2 linked regions of the Pelodiscus sinensis genome follow. The protein of the gene in region 1 purifies or fractionates together with the protein of each later gene. This does not show direct contact. Links are inferred from orthologs where the notes say so. Each region holds a gene or a part of one and is shown on either strand. Other genes may lie near its edges.

Region 1 (6,838 bases):
ATGGGATGGCCCGTGTTGTCTGTCACAGCTGCCCCTGCCCAGCCCCATGTCTGGCTCTGACTGGCCAGGACACCCAGCCCCAGGCCTCTTCACCGTAACAGCTAGTGCAGGCACCTCTGTGGCAGGGGGCTGTGGGGCCAGGGAGCGGGGGGGGGAGGCTGACTGTGCCAGGGAAGGGGAGCAGGGGGCTGTGGGGCCAGGGAGTGGGGGGGAAGCTGACTGCACTGGGGAGCGGGAGCAGGGGGCTGTGGGGCCAGAGAGTGGGGGGGAAGCTGACTGCACTGGGGAGCGGGACCAGGGGGCTGTGGGTCCAGGGGGCTGACTGCGCTGGGGAGCGGGAGCAGGGGGCTGTGGGGCCAGGGAGCGGGGGCGGAGGCTGTGCCAGGGAGGGGGAGCAGGGGGCTGTGGGGACAGGGAGCGGGGGCGGAGGCTGTGCCAGGAGGGGGAGCAGGGGGCCCTGGGGCCAGGGAGCGGGAGGGGAGTCTGACTGCGCTGGGGAGGGGGAGCAGAGGGCTGTGGGGCCAGGGAGTGGGGGGGAGGCTGACTGCGGCAGGGAGGGGGAGCAGGGGGCTGTGGGGCCAGGGAGTGGGGGGGGGAGGCTGACTGCACTGGGGTGCGGGAGCAGGGGGCTGTGGGGGCCGGGGGGGGGCTGACTGCACTGGGGTGCGGGAGCAGGGGGCTGTGGGGCCGGGGGGGGCTGACTGCACTGGGGAGCAGGGGGCTGTGGGGCCGGGGGGGGGGGAGGCTGACTGCACTGGGGAGCGGGGGGGCGACCCCTCCAGGGAGCAGGGGGGCCAATCACGCGCAGGAGCGGGAGCCAGGGCCCCGTGGCGAGAGAGGGGGGGCCGCTGTCCCTCCCTGCAGTGGGGAGCCCGCGGGGCAGGCTGCTTGGAATACTCTGCTTTATTGGGGGCTGCGGGGGAGCGTCACTTGGGCGCCGTGGGGCCGGGCCGGGCCCTCCCTGCCCCACAGGGCCTTGAGCCGCTGGTAGTACACCTGGCAGCTGAAGCCCTCCCGGGAGCCGCACTGGACGTGGGTCTTGAGCGAGTGCAGGGTGGGGAAGACGCGGCAGCAGGCCAGGCACTTGGAGCCGTTCTGCGGCGCCGGCTGCCACCGGGCCGCCAGGAGGATGTCGCGGGAGGTGATGCAGCCCTGGGGCTCCGTGCCGGGGCCCGCCCGCTCCAGGGAGCAGGAGGAGCAGGGGCTGTCGGGGAGCTCGGCGGCCTGGCCGGCGTCCCGGGCGCTGGCTGCTGGCGTGTCCGGGCGGCTGCAGGCCTCCCGCGGGCTGGCCCGGCCCGTGCACACCAGGTAGCTGTAGGGGGAGAACCAGGGCCGGTAGATGGTGCAGTTGCGCCCCGGGGGCTCGCTGCTCGGCATGTCGCTGGGGACACAAGCTGCCAAGAGAAGGGGTTGGGATGAGCCCGGGCCCAGCGCCGGGCAGGCTGGGGGCCGGGCTCGCCTTGGCTCAGTGCCTCCCGGGGAGGGAGCTCTCCAGGGCCCAGCGCCGGGCAGGCTGGGGGCCGGGCTCGCCTTGGCTCAGTGCCTCCCGGGGAGGGAGCTCTCCAGGGCCCAGCGCCGGGCAGGCTGGGGGCCGGGCTCGCCTTGGCTCAGTGCCTCCCGGGGAGGGAGCTCTCCAGGGCCCAGCGCCGGGCAGGCTGGGGGCCCGGCTCGCCTTGGCTCAGTGCCTCCCGGGAAGGGAGCTCTCCAGGGCCCAGCGCCGGGCAGGCTGGGGGCCCGGCTCGCCTTGGCTCAGTGCCTCCCGGGGAGGGAGCTCTCCAGGGCCCAGCGCCGGGCAGGCTGGGGGCCGGGCTCGCCTTGGCTCAGTGCCTCCCGGGGAGGGAGCTCTCCAGGGCCCAGCGCCGGGCAGGCTGGGGGCCCGGCTCGCCTTGGCTCAGTGCCTCCCGGGGAGGGAGCTCTCCAGGGCCCAGCGCCGGGCAGGCTGGGGGCCGGGCTCGCCTTGGCTCAGTGCCTCCCGGGGAGGGAGCTCTCCAGGGCCCAGCCCTTCCCCTGCCCGCCCATCTGCCCCACGGCTGGGCTCCCGTGGGAACCGGCAGCAGCTGCGGGGCTTGTGCTGGGCACCGTGGGACGGCCGATGCTCAGAGCCCAGGGGTCGGATGCACTCTCCGTGCGGAGGTCGGAGGTCGGACCCCACCGGCTCCCATGGGTCCTGTTGTGCTGTGCCCAGGGGCCGCTGCTCAGCTACCCAGAGGAAGGGGTGCGTCTGGAGCAGGGCAGAGAGGCCTCAGGCACGGGGGCAGTGTGGGGCTGGCAGCAGAGAAAGGACCCCTCCCCCCTCAGCTTGTCTCCAGCATCTGTTCCCGGAGCCAGGCTGGAGCCATGGGGTGGGGGAGGTGCAATGTGACACACAGAGCCCCTGGCGGGCCCCACGGCCTGACTCGGGCACAAGCCCCTGCGATGAGTCAGGAAGGCGTAGGAGGCAGGGACTGTCTGGTTCACCAGCGCCCACCCCGGCCTGAGATCCTGCACGGGGCTACCCGCCACACGAGCCAGACCCAGGCGTTTCCAGCGCGTGCACCCCCCCTCCCCCCCCAGGCCATCCGCCAGTGCCTAGCTCTGCCAGAAGCTACTTCCCAGGCCTGGGAAAGGCGGCGTGTGACTCTGGAGCTGGGTCTCTGCTACTGACTCCCTGTGGGTCCTCGTCCAACTCATTTAGGCCACCATTTTCAAAGGGGCGTTGCCCATTGTGGCACAGCTGGCCGCTGAGTCCAGCAGTGCGGGGGCCACAGCTAGGTGAGCTCAGTGGGGGTTGTGAGTGTATCGAGGTATTCAAGGGGGCTGCCGCTGCTTTCCCCAGCTGCTCACGTGTCCCCCGGCCCCTCTTAGTTTCGGTCTGGCCCCCTGGGAGCTGAGGGATGTGGTGTGCGCCACGGGCAGGGTAGTGTCTGTCTCGACGCCTGCAGCCAGGCAGCAGACGCACCGAAAATCAGGCCCTGTAGCTCTAACAGCGAGTCCCCAAAATCAGAGCCCACCGTGGAAACCAGCGGTGGCTGCGTGCCTCAGTTTCCCCACCTGTACAGCAGGGCTCGTACCCCTCCTCCACTTCCTGGTTGGCCTGGGCTGCTGCTGGGGAGGTGGGGAGGGGCTGGAGAAAGGTGGCATGTGTGACCCAAGGTTGGGGGGGCCGTTACCTGGCAAGCTGGGAGTGCGCCGGGGGGCTGGCGCGTCGCGTAGGCTCTTCATGGCACAGCTGGGCAGACGTGGCCCAGAGATGGTCAGCAGGGAGAAGTTCTCCATCCCCGGCGGCAGCTGGTGCAGGGAGCAGGTGCCAGCCAGTGAGATCCTGGGGCTCTGGCCGGAGTTCCCGGGGCCTGGCTCTGTGACGTCACCGGCCGACCTCACAGTCCCTGCGCCGGGAGCAGCCGGGGGGAGGGCGTCTGGCGGCCGCTTGTGTCCCGTGCTGTGCGAGGGCGGAATAGCACGTCTTGGCCCCTCGCGCCCGCAGGGCCCTGCCCAGGCACGGCCCCCGAGGGCAGCTGCTCCACGCCCAGGCAGAGCCGGGCAGGACAGCTTGTTGCTGGAGTGGGGGGGCCGGGCCAGCGCCACGGCTGGCGAGGGAAACTGGGCGGCCGTACCTCTAAGGTGGGGGCCAGGGGCAGACTCTGGCTGGGTGCCGCTCGCCTTGGGTGGCTCCCCTCTGCCCCGGCCCCATGCTGCCCCTGCCATTGCTGCGCTACGTACCGGGCAGAAGCGTTTGAGCCGCAGCCTCTGCACCCGGGTAGTGCAGCCCTGGCTCTGGGGAGAGTTCCCTCTCACTGGGAAGGTTGTGTGCACCACACGCTGGCCACGGGCCGGCTCCCCGCACGTCCCCCTGGCCACGGGCCGGCTCCCCGCACGTCCCCCTGGCCACGCGCCGGCTCCCCGCACGTCCCCCTGGCCACGCGCCGGCTCCCCGCACGTCCCCCTGGCCACGGGCCGGCTCCCCGCACGTCCCCCTGGCCACGCGCCGGCTCCCCGCACGTCCCCCTGGCCACGCGCCGGCTCCCCGCACGTCCCCCTGGCCACGGGCCGGCTCCCCGCACGTCCCCCTGGCCACGCGCCGGCTCCCCGCACGTCCCCCTGGCCACGCGCCGGCTCCCCGCACGTCCCCCTGGCCACGGGCCGGCTCCCCGCACGTCCCCCTGGCCACGGGCCGGCTCCCCGCACGTCCCCCTGGCCACGGGCCGGCTCCCCGCACGTCCTCCGCCCCACGCACAATGCACCCTGCCCACGTGCCAGCTCCCCACACATCCACTGCCCCATGCTTGGCGCGCCCTGCCTGCGTGCCCCCCCCATCCACGTGTCAGCCCATCACGTGCTGCCATCTCCCCGCAGCCCACCTCTCCGTCCAAGCGTCCCCCTCCGTGCGCCGACCCTCCTCTCCTCTCTTCCAGCTGACCACAGCCTGTTTGAGAATTCGAACACGACCCTCGCGCCAAAGCTGCAGCCCAGCCGGTCTGTCTCCAGAGCCCTGCAGGGCCCACCCCAGGCAGCCCTGCCGGACACCGCTGGGCCTGCCCTGCGAGCGGGAAGCCAGCACCTCAGGAACCTGAGCAAGGCCGTCGGGGCCAAGGTCAATGACTTGCTGCGCCGGAGGGAGGCCGCCAGCCTGGGCGAGGCCTGGGTGACCGAGGTCAATGCCCGCGCGGGCGCTGAGCTGGTGGGCGGGACGCTCGCGCTGCGTGAGGATCAGGCCCATGCGACAGGGTGAGTCTCGCCGTGGCCCGGCCCGGCCGCTGGAGAGCGGGGCAGAACCCTCGGTCCGTTGTCAGGCGCGGGCGGGGAGGGACCCTCGGTCCGTTGTCAGGCGCGGGCGGGGAGGGACCCTCGGTCCGTTGTCAGGCGCGGGCGGGGAGGGACCCTCGGTCCGTTGTCAGGCGCATGTGGGGAGGGACCCTCGGTCCGTTGTCAGGCGCGGGGCGGGGAGGGACCCTCGGTCCGTTGTCAGGCGCGGGCGGGGAGGGACCCTCGGTCCGTTGTCAGGCGCATGTGGGGAGGGACCCTCGGTCCGTTGTCAGGCGCGGGCGGGGAGGGACCCTCGGTCCGTTGTCAGGCGCGGGCGGGGAGGGACCCTCGGTCCGTTGTCAGGCGCATGTGGGGAGGGACCCTCGGTCCGTTGTCAGGCGCGGGCGGGGAGGGACCCTCGGTCCGTTGTCAGGCGCATGTGGGGAGGGACCCTCGGTCCGTTGTCAGGCGCGGGCGGGGAGGGACCCTCGGCCCGTTGTCAGGCGCGGGCGGGGAGGGACCCTCGGCCCGTTGTCAGGCGCGGGCGGGGAGGGACCCTCGGCCCGTTGTCAGGCGCGGGCGGGGAGGGACCCTCGGCCCATTGTCAGGCGCGGGCGGGGAGGGACCCTCCGCCCGTTGTCAGGCGCGGGCAGTTCCCCCTTTGACAAGCGGTGGGCAAGGCCTGTTGCTTTCTCCCAGAAGCAAATGCTTGAACTCCCAGGCCAGGGCCAATCCTCCCAGCACACACCCACGTCCGCCAGGCACCCGGGCAGCACGCGCCCAGCCAGCGAAGCCTCGGCTTTCAGCAGCCCCCTCGCCCGGCCCGCCTTGCGCACACCCCAGCGGGTACAACACCGTTCTGCGGCGCCGCCCCAGGGACAGCACAGCCCAAGGTGGCAGGAGGGCTGCGAAGTAACGAATAACCGCAGCCCACGGCCGCTGAGACTTACCTACTGGTGGGCTCTGCTCCCAGGAGGCCTTTGGAGCACCCTCCAGCTGGGAAACTGAGGCACAGTGGCTGAGTGCAGCAGACTAGAGCCCAGCTGTCGGAGCTGGTGTCCGCTGCGCGAGTCTCCTGCGGCCCGGGCGTGCTTGTGTCTGCGTGCAGGGGGTTGAGCGCCCGGGGGCCCCGAGGCAGCTGCCAGCGCCGTGGGTCTGCCGCTCACCAGGGCCGTTGTGCTTACAGGCACGTGCTGCTGGAAACCTTCCCCCGGCTGGACCCACCGCCCCCCGCAGCCAAGAGGCGCGCGCCCCGGGCGCTGAAGACCCCCCTGGACATGCTGATCTCCCAGCCAGCGGCGGGCAGCGCGGAGGCCGCCGGCGAGCGGGCCGCCCAGGAGGAGCAGTGGAAGACGGCGGGGGCCGGGCCTCGGCCAGGGGCCGGCGCTGAGCTGGGTGCCCCAGGCGTAGCAGGGCCCAGTGGGGCCGGGCCTCCCCACGGCAACGCCCTCTCCGTGCCTGATCTCCTCCAGGAGGAGACCTTGCAGGGCCAGCTCAGAGCTGCTGAATGGTGCCCAGAGAAACCCGCCCTCCGGCTCAGCCTGTCCCAGCGCCAGCCCTGCAGCCTGGACCAGGAGGGGCCCCACCCGGACCTCCTGTCCTTTGAGTAGCTGCCCGGGGCACTGGGCCGTCGCCTCTCCCCCGGGACATTCTGCCCCTGCCCTGCAGGCCTGGGGCAATCTGACCGTGCTCTGGGGCATCATCCATGACGGGCCCGGGGGCTCGGAGAGAAGCCCGACCCCTGCCCCCATATCCCGTCGCACACGCGCAGGGCAGGGGGATGCACACCCGCACTGCCTGGCCGCCTGGCTCAGGCACCCCGCACAGGACTTCCCCTCTCCCAGCAGGGGCTGTAGCTTCACCCTACACCCTCCCGTCCCTGCGCCTGTCTCACAGGCAACCCTGGGGCTGGGGGCAGGGGCCAGCCACGAGCCATTTCCCACGGGCCCCTCTCCAGCACCGCCCTGCGCAGACCCTGCCCCTGCCCCGGGCCACGGCTCTACCCGTGTTTCCGTCCATGCACAGTCTTTCCTCTGATCTGCCATGGGGCTGGCCAAGCCCCCGAACCCACACGGCCTTGTCTCTGATCTGATCTGTGGGGCCCCCCCACGCCCGC
Region 2 (7,433 bases), on another chromosome or scaffold:
ACAGCCGACTATGGCCTGGCTCCCCAGGCGAAGGGGCAGCAGCGGGCAGTTCCCTGCACCTACCTGCTCAGGGATGGGCACTATCCTGCCCCGCATGGGGTACCTGGGGGCTTCTCACAGCCAACTGGGCAGCAGAGCAACCTCTGGGCTTGGTCCCCTGGCCCAGCAACCCATTGCACCTGCCTCCCCCGGGCAATGACCCAGCCACACAGGGACTCTCCCTGCCTGCCCTACGCTCAGCGGGCACAGGGCCCAGTTCTCTCCAGGGCAGTTTCCCCATAGCGCCAGCCCAGGGGGCACGTGTGAGGGCAGGGGGGCCGGCAGGGACCAGGGGGGCTGAGCCAGGTGCAGGGGGGTGCTGAGAGCCAACTGTGACGTTGGAGATGATGATAACCACGTCAGGGGAGCTCTGCTGCTGCCCTAGTCCCAGCACCCAGGCCAGGCCGCTGGCCAAAGGGCCCCCCCGTCTCCCTGGCTGGGCCCGGCAGCGCCAGGGCGCTACGCGCTCAGCCCGAGCCCGGCCCGGCGGCGCCCCCTAGCGGCTCCGAGCGGGATCGGCGCTGTTCGGGGGCGCAAAGTCTCGCACAGTCCGCGGTATATGGCCCCCGTCCTCCCTCACTCCCCCGGGCCCCCTGACCCCCCTTCACTCCTCCTGTGTCCCCCTCTCCCCGTGTCCCCCGGTGCCACCCGGCCCCCGCCACTCCCAGGCCCCACCCTCGCCGCTCCGCACCCCTGCCTCTCTCTCCCTGGCGGGGGGGCGGCAGGTGTCGGCCCCGGGCACCTCCCCCTGCGGGCGGATTGGCTGGCGGCCGCACCCCGCGGCGGGCGCTATAAAGCAGCGGGCGCGGGCGGCTCCCGGCACTCCCTGGCGGCGGGCGGCCCGGGGACAGGGCGCTGCATGGCGCCCAGCCTGGCGCCCGAGGCCCGGGTGCGCCTGGTGTTCTTCGGGGCGGCGGGCGTGGGCAAGACGGCCCTGATCCGCCGCTTCCTGCAGGACGCGTTCGAGGCGCGGCACCGGCGCACGGTGGAGGAGCTGCACCTGCTGGAGCTGGAACTGGAGCCGGGCTCGGGGCTGAGCCTCCGCTTGGAGATCCTGGACACGAGCGGCAGCTACAGCTTCCCGGCCATGCGGCGCCTCTGCATCGGCCGCGGCGACGCCTTCGCCCTGGTCTACTCGCTGCAGGAGCCCGACTCCTTCGCCGAGGTGCAGCGGCTGCGGGACGAGATCCTGGAGGCCCGGCGGGGCCCGGTGCCCATCGTGGTGGTGGGGAACAAGAGCGACCTGGCGCCGGGCCAGCCGGACTCGCGCGTGGCCGTCGCGCAGCGGGACTGGGGCTGCACCTGCCTGGAGGCCTCGGCCAAGCAGGGGCGCAACGTGCTCAGCCTCTTCCAGGAGCTGCTGAGCCAGGTCAACCTGCCCGGGCGCCTCAGCCCGGCCCTGCGGCGCCGCCGGCCCCAGCCCTTCGGCAAGGAGCCGCCCCGCCGCGGCGCCAAGAGCCACAGCTGCGCCGTCTGCTAGGGCCCGGGGCCGGGCGGGATCGGGTCCCCGACAGCCGCCTGGCTGGAGCGACGCGTTCCGGAGCGTTCCCCGACGCCAGCGGTCGCTGACGGCCCCAGAAGCCGGGCACGGAGCGGACTCTGCTCCCCCTGTACCGCCGCCTGGACGGGGGTCCGTGCCTGCCTCTCTTGCCCGCCAGCCGCGGCTGGCTCAGGGCGGCTCTCCAGGGTGGGGGCTCCAGGCACCGGGAGGCGGAGAGTTGCGGGAGCAGCGAGCAGGGAGAGCGCACGGACGGTGACCAGCCACTCGCTTCCCGTGTGCTGGGTTCAGAGGGCGGGGGAAGCCTCAAAGCGCAGCCTCCTGGCTCCAGTTAGCTTGGACCCGAGCTCTGGGGCGGTTTCCAGCTGGCATGGTAGGATGAGCTCTCATGCTCCGTGCAGGCCGGTCCCACCTCCGCCATGGCTTCCCCTCCAACAATGTGAGGTCTCAGCAGTCAGCAGCCAGAATCCCTTCCCTGGGACACCTGCCCCTTCTATTCTGTAGGGGCCTGACCTGCAGGGTCCCCTGTGATGCTGGCACCTGGGCGCTGAGCTTCTACTACACAAATCAAGCAGCCCAGCTGCTCCACCTCTGGTCCTGCAGTCAGTCCCACCACCCACCTCCCTCCAAGGAAAGGGCTGTGCCTTTGCCCGTGGGCACAGGCCGGTGAGCTGCAGCTCTGAAGCTGGCCAGGGATCCCACAAGGGACAGAACAGGGCTTAATTTGCAAGGCAGGTGCTGCTGGGGCTCATGCAGTTTCTTCACACCAGGACCGAGCCCAGAGGCACTGGCGATGCAAACAGCCTGGGACGCGGCCCAGGCCTCCATTATGCACTGCAGTGGGGACCGTCCTGGTCAGGGAGCCCCTCTGGGGGAGAAGCCAAATGACCCCCCCTGCAGCGCATGTTTCCCAAAGCAGCATCTCCTGAAGGAGACAAGGGTGGAGTGACAGCACCTCTGAGTGTGGGGGAGCAGGAACCTGTCACTAAAAACAGGCAGACCTGACAGCACGGGGCTGGGTAAGTCCAGCCCATGCTTCTTGCCATGGCTCAGGGGTGATGGTATCTTAGTTAACAGGCTCCCTAGGACTCCCTCATGCTGGACTAGCAGCAGGCTAGAAGTCTCTCCAGCTGTGGTGGGAGGGTGTGGAAAGGAAATAAGGGGGGGGGGGGGATAGCAGGTGTATTGTAGAACCTACCCCCACCCAAACAGTGCTTCATACTGTAATGTGACCCAGATGTGCATGAAGGTACTTGCTTCCTTCTGTAGTTCCATGACCATTCTAGCTCCCTGTAATGAAACCCATGGACCTGTTCCCCACATGATTTAAGTGCCTGGGTCCTGTGGGGGCAGGCAGAGCCCTATTCAGGCTCCAGGAGTGCTGCTATCTAGTCTGCTTCCCATATGCCTAGGATGAGGAACCTTTTCTTGGAGCAGGGGCCACTGACCTACAGAAAAATCAGTCGGGCAGCATGCAAGTGAGAGGCTGAACCGGGGGAGGGAGGAGGAGCACTGAGCCGTGGAGGCCAGACACAGGCAAGCTGCCTAGGAGGCCACTGCAGTGGCAGCGCCAAGCTCAGTGCTATGTGAGGGTTTCTCATGCTACGGAGGGGTAACCTTGGCCTGACTTGGGCCTTCTCAAAACAGAGGGCTCCTATTGCTTGTTGGGCTTATGTGGCTGCCTGGCATTACAGTATGTGACTTTCCCACAGAGAAGTCCCTGACACATCTTGCTCTTGGGGTAAATTCTGCTTGGAATAGGCTTGTTTGGTTACGAGTTTGCTTAATTTCCATTAACTGCACAACTGTCACAAAATAAAAACAAACCTCACACGAGGCGAGTGAGCAAGCAAACTTGTTTTCATGTCAGTCTTACTGGAAACTTCATCTGTATCACCTGGCCCAAATGAATTATTTGCTCCTCCAATGAATTTGTTTGTGCTTGTATCAGATCAGTTTTTAATCCATTTGATTAACATTTGGACCTTTAATGCTTCAACAAACACACCATTAATAGAAGTTGTGGCACCAGGTTAGGTTATTTCATCCATCAGGTCTAATAGCCCCCTTCAACAGAAGCTAATGCCTGGGACTTAAAGAAATGGCGTGGGAGAGTTGTTGAACCAAACTGTAGGTCCCATATATAACAGAAACCACTTCAAGTCAGGTAATGTGCTTCCCCCCAGCACCTATGGCTCAGCAGGCAGAGGGGGAAAAAGAATCATTCAGAAAATGACTTACTGGGATTTGGCTGGTCCCTTGTGGCTGTCAGGCTGTGCCGGGGGCCCTGATGCAAGCGAATGTTTGCTCTTCCCTAGCAGTGACCTGTCCACCGATCAGTGCCTGGGGGTGCCAGTTCCTACACTGCATGAAGCAGCGAGTGCAAAGCCTGGGTCTAGGCCTGCAACACTGAGGAAGCTGTGAAAGTGCAACAGGGGAAGGGGAGGTTGTTCTAGTGGCACATCTGGGAGAGGGTAGCTGGTTGCTGTGCATTGGGCAGCATGGCTGGGGCTAGAGCTACACATGTGGGTAGGGTGGCACATCTGGGGCAGGAGGGGGTGGCTGGGTTACAGTTGCACATCTGGGGCAGAGAGCTGGAGCTAGACCTACATCTCAGGTGTGGGGGGCAGGGACTAGAGCTGCACATCTGGGGCAGGATGGCTGGGGCAAGGATTGCACCTGTGGGGCAGGGGCCTGCACAGCGGGGCGGATGTTGCAGGGCGAGCCCGGATGTTCCGGCGACGCCCCCTGCTCGCGGCTGCCCGCTCGCGGAGCCCGGGGCTGCTGTCCCTTTAAACGGGGCGGGGGGGCTCCCATGGTGCCTAGCGGCGGGCGGCTTGGATTTTAAATCGTAGCAGCCAATGGGGAGCGCGCTGGGCGCGGCTAACGCTCCGGCTCGAGGTTTGAAATTGTTACAGTGTCGCGGCGGCCGGCGGCGAGAGCGGGGCTAAGGGCGGGAGCATGAGCGCGGTGTCCGGGAAGGGGGCGAAGCCGCCGGGGGCGGCCGAGCCCGGGAAGGGGGCCGCGGCCGGGCCCGGGCCCGGGGCGACGGCGGTGGCCAAGGAGATCCCGAAGGTGCTGGTGGATCCCCGCACCCGCCGCAGCTACATGCGCGGGCGCTTCCTGGGCAAGGGCGGCTTCGCCAAGTGCTACGAGATCACGGAGCTGGAGGGCCAGGAGGTGTTCGCCGGCAAGATCGTGCCCAAGTCGCTGCTGGTGAAGCCGCACCAGAAGGAGAAGATGTCCATGGAGATCTCCATCCACCGCAGCCTGGCGCACCGCCACGTGGTGGGCTTCCAGGGCTTCTTCGAGGACAGCGACTTCGTCTTCGTGGTGCTGGAGCTGTGCCGCCGGCGGGTGAGGGGCGGCCGGGGGGGGACGGGACGCGGGGCCGCCGGCGGGTGAGGGGCGGCCGGGGGGGGACGGGACGCGGGGCCGCCGGCGGGTGAGGGGCGGCCGGGGGGGGACGGGACGCGGGGCCGCCGGCGGGTGAGGGGCGGCCGGGGGGGGACGGGACGCGGGGCCGCCGGCGGGTGAGGGGCGGCCGGGGGGGGACGGGACGCGGGGCCGCCGGCGGGGGAGGGGCGGCCGGGGGGGGGGGGACGGGACGCGGGGCGGCCGGGCCCGTTCCCTTCCTGCAGACGGACGTGGGCCCCGTGGGGCTCAGGCCTGTCCTGCGGCGGGGGCGCTGCCGGCCCGGCGGGGGGGCGGGGGGCTCCCGCAGGGGACGGGGCTGGGGGCGGTAGCGGGGCCGCAGCCGGAAACGCTGATACTGTCTCTGCGTTCCACCGTGTCCGAGCGTTCGAAGCGCCTTAAAGGGCCAGTAGCCCCGCGCAGCGGTGCAGGGTGGGGGGTGCTCCCAAGCCTTCCCGACGTTACTCTCCTCAGTGGAGCTAGGACGGGGGGGTGCCCGCCGCAGAGCGTCCCCAGGCAGCAGGGGCAGGCTCTGGGCTGGGGGTGCTCATCACCCTGCCTCTCTCCTGGCCCCCAGTCGCTGTTGGAGCTGCACAAGCGGAGGAAAGCCTTGACCGAGCCGGAAGCGCGCTACTACCTGCGGCAAACCATCCTGGGCTGCCAGTATCTGCACAGCAACCGGGTCATTCACCGGGACCTCAAGCTGGGCAACCTCTTCCTCAACGACGACATGGAGGTGAAAATAGGTACGGACACCTGCAGCACAGAGCGGGTCCGGGAGCCCGCCCAGCCCCCGCCGCTCGCTGCGGATTCCGGGCCTTGTAAAGTCCCGATCCGAGCACATCCCATGCTTTGGATGGGCCGACTCCGTATTGGAGGGATGTAGCCCATAATTCTGCCACTTGCTGCTCACAGGATGAGACCGACTGTCCACGCACCATTGCCTGAGAACTCTGAGCTAAGGAAACCAGTCTCCCTGGTGCCCGGCCTGGCCCTAGGCAAATATTCTTGTACCTAAATCTTCCCAGGTGACTTTGGCTTGGCAACCAAAGTAGAATATGATGGTGAACGTAAGAAGACGCTGTGTGGGACACCAAACTACATCGCCCCCGAGGTGCTGGGCAAGAAGGGACACAGCTTTGAAGTGGACATCTGGTCCATCGGCTGCATTATGTACGTTCCATGACAAATCTTCAGGTTTTTAGTTTGCATGCCCTTAAATTTGGGACTTAGGGCTGCCATGGTCAGTCCGCTAGACTGGGGTCCGGGTTTTAAGTTAATCTTAGCTTGTGAGGAGCCTCTTAAAGGAGACACTATAAAACAAAAGTGATCAGGTCCAGGCCAGAACCTGGATAAGTGCAGACTAAGGTATGTCTGTGAGAATGGCCCAGCTATGGTGGTGTAGCTGAGCCGCTGTGGTGGTATAGTGCAGATACTTTCTACACTGACTTTCTCCCTCGATGGCATTAATCCACCCCTCAGAAGAGAGGTGCATTAGCTACGTCTGTGGAACAAGTCTTCCACTGTCCTAGCTGTGTCTATACAGACACTTTTCACTACCCTGTAGACTTGGCCTAAGGCTTGAATTGCCCTGAGATGTAGCTATGTGCTGGTCTCTAGTGAGAACAATATTTGAAGAGTTCTTGCTAGAACACTGCTAGCTTGGTTCAAATCTATATGGCTGTAAATGGGTCTTAAAGGTTACAATTTAAAAAGTGGTTTGCAAATTAGGCTGCCCTAGCAAGACTCCTAATGGCAGTGACCAAGGGCTAGAGATGGGTGATGAGTCTCAGCTTCCTTCATGACTCGTTTGCTTTGTAATCAGAGCTTGACTATCTCTGGAAAACTCCTCAGATCTGACTATCAGAACAATGTTCCTGTTTGCCTTGACCTGCCAGCTGCTGTGTGTGCACCTACCTGTACCCACAACCACTGGCTTTTGCAGGCTTACTTCTTGTAGTGAAAGTTATTTTGAATCCTGTCCATTTAAAGACCTGATGTCCCGAGTTTCACCGGTTCTCTCTCCCAAGGGTACCAGATTCCAGCTGCCTCCCCTAAGGAGCAGGGAACTGGAGATCTACCTGGCATTTCAAATACAATTGCCTGCTGCCCTGCATCTCCTGGGTGTCTCATCCCCCTGCTGCAAATGATCCTTCATGTGGAAATCGTGTGCTCTCCTTGTGACAGGCTCTTATGTATCTTAAATATGCAGGTACACACTTCTGGTAGGGAAACCACCCTTTGAAACCTCTTGTCTAAAAGAAACCTACATCCGAATTAAGAAGAATGAGTACAACATCCCCAAGGTATGGAGCCTGCTGCAGAGCGGGAGTTAGTCTTGCCAGCCAATAGAGCTAAGACTGCTTGTGCTTAGAGTGCACTTAACTTGGGAGTGAGCCCATTGGACTCACTGGCACTTCTGTTTTTGAGAAAACAAGCATAGAACGGGGTTCCGTGGGAAAGCTGAGTTAATGCTGAAGTA

The links.
Region 2: the proteins of C9H1orf226 (region 1) and PLK1 purify together in Homo sapiens (affinity purification with mass spectrometry; 3 studies listed by BioGRID and IntAct, counting the BioPlex papers as one, with this or other methods). This does not show direct contact. The link is inferred for Pelodiscus sinensis from reciprocal best matches to the Homo sapiens genes C1orf226 and PLK1.

Annotation. Positions count from the first base shown.
Region 1 is NC_134719.1:65,318,868-65,325,705, forward strand, and holds C9H1orf226 (uncharacterized protein C1orf226 homolog), read left to right. Parts: upstream 1-4,258; coding exon 4,259-4,704; intron 4,705-5,908; coding exon 5,909-6,332; downstream 6,333-6,838. Other genes in the region: SPATA46 (spermatogenesis-associated protein 46), read right to left, coding at 904-1,394, 3,150-3,255.
Region 2 is NC_134726.1:39,868,840-39,876,272, forward strand, and holds the start of PLK1 (serine/threonine-protein kinase PLK1), read left to right. Parts: upstream 1-4,417; 5' UTR 4,418-4,498; coding exon 4,499-4,894; intron 4,895-5,528; coding exon 5,529-5,697; intron 5,698-5,979; coding exon 5,980-6,124; intron 6,125-7,163; coding exon 7,164-7,257; intron 7,258-7,433. Other genes in the region: ras-related protein Rap-2c-like, read left to right, coding at 899-1,519. UniProt on the Homo sapiens protein: Serine/threonine-protein kinase that performs several important functions throughout M phase of the cell cycle, including the regulation of centrosome maturation and spindle assembly, the removal of cohesins from chromosome arms, the inactivation of anaphase-promoting complex/cyclosome (APC/C) inhibitors, and the regulation of mitotic exit and cytokinesis.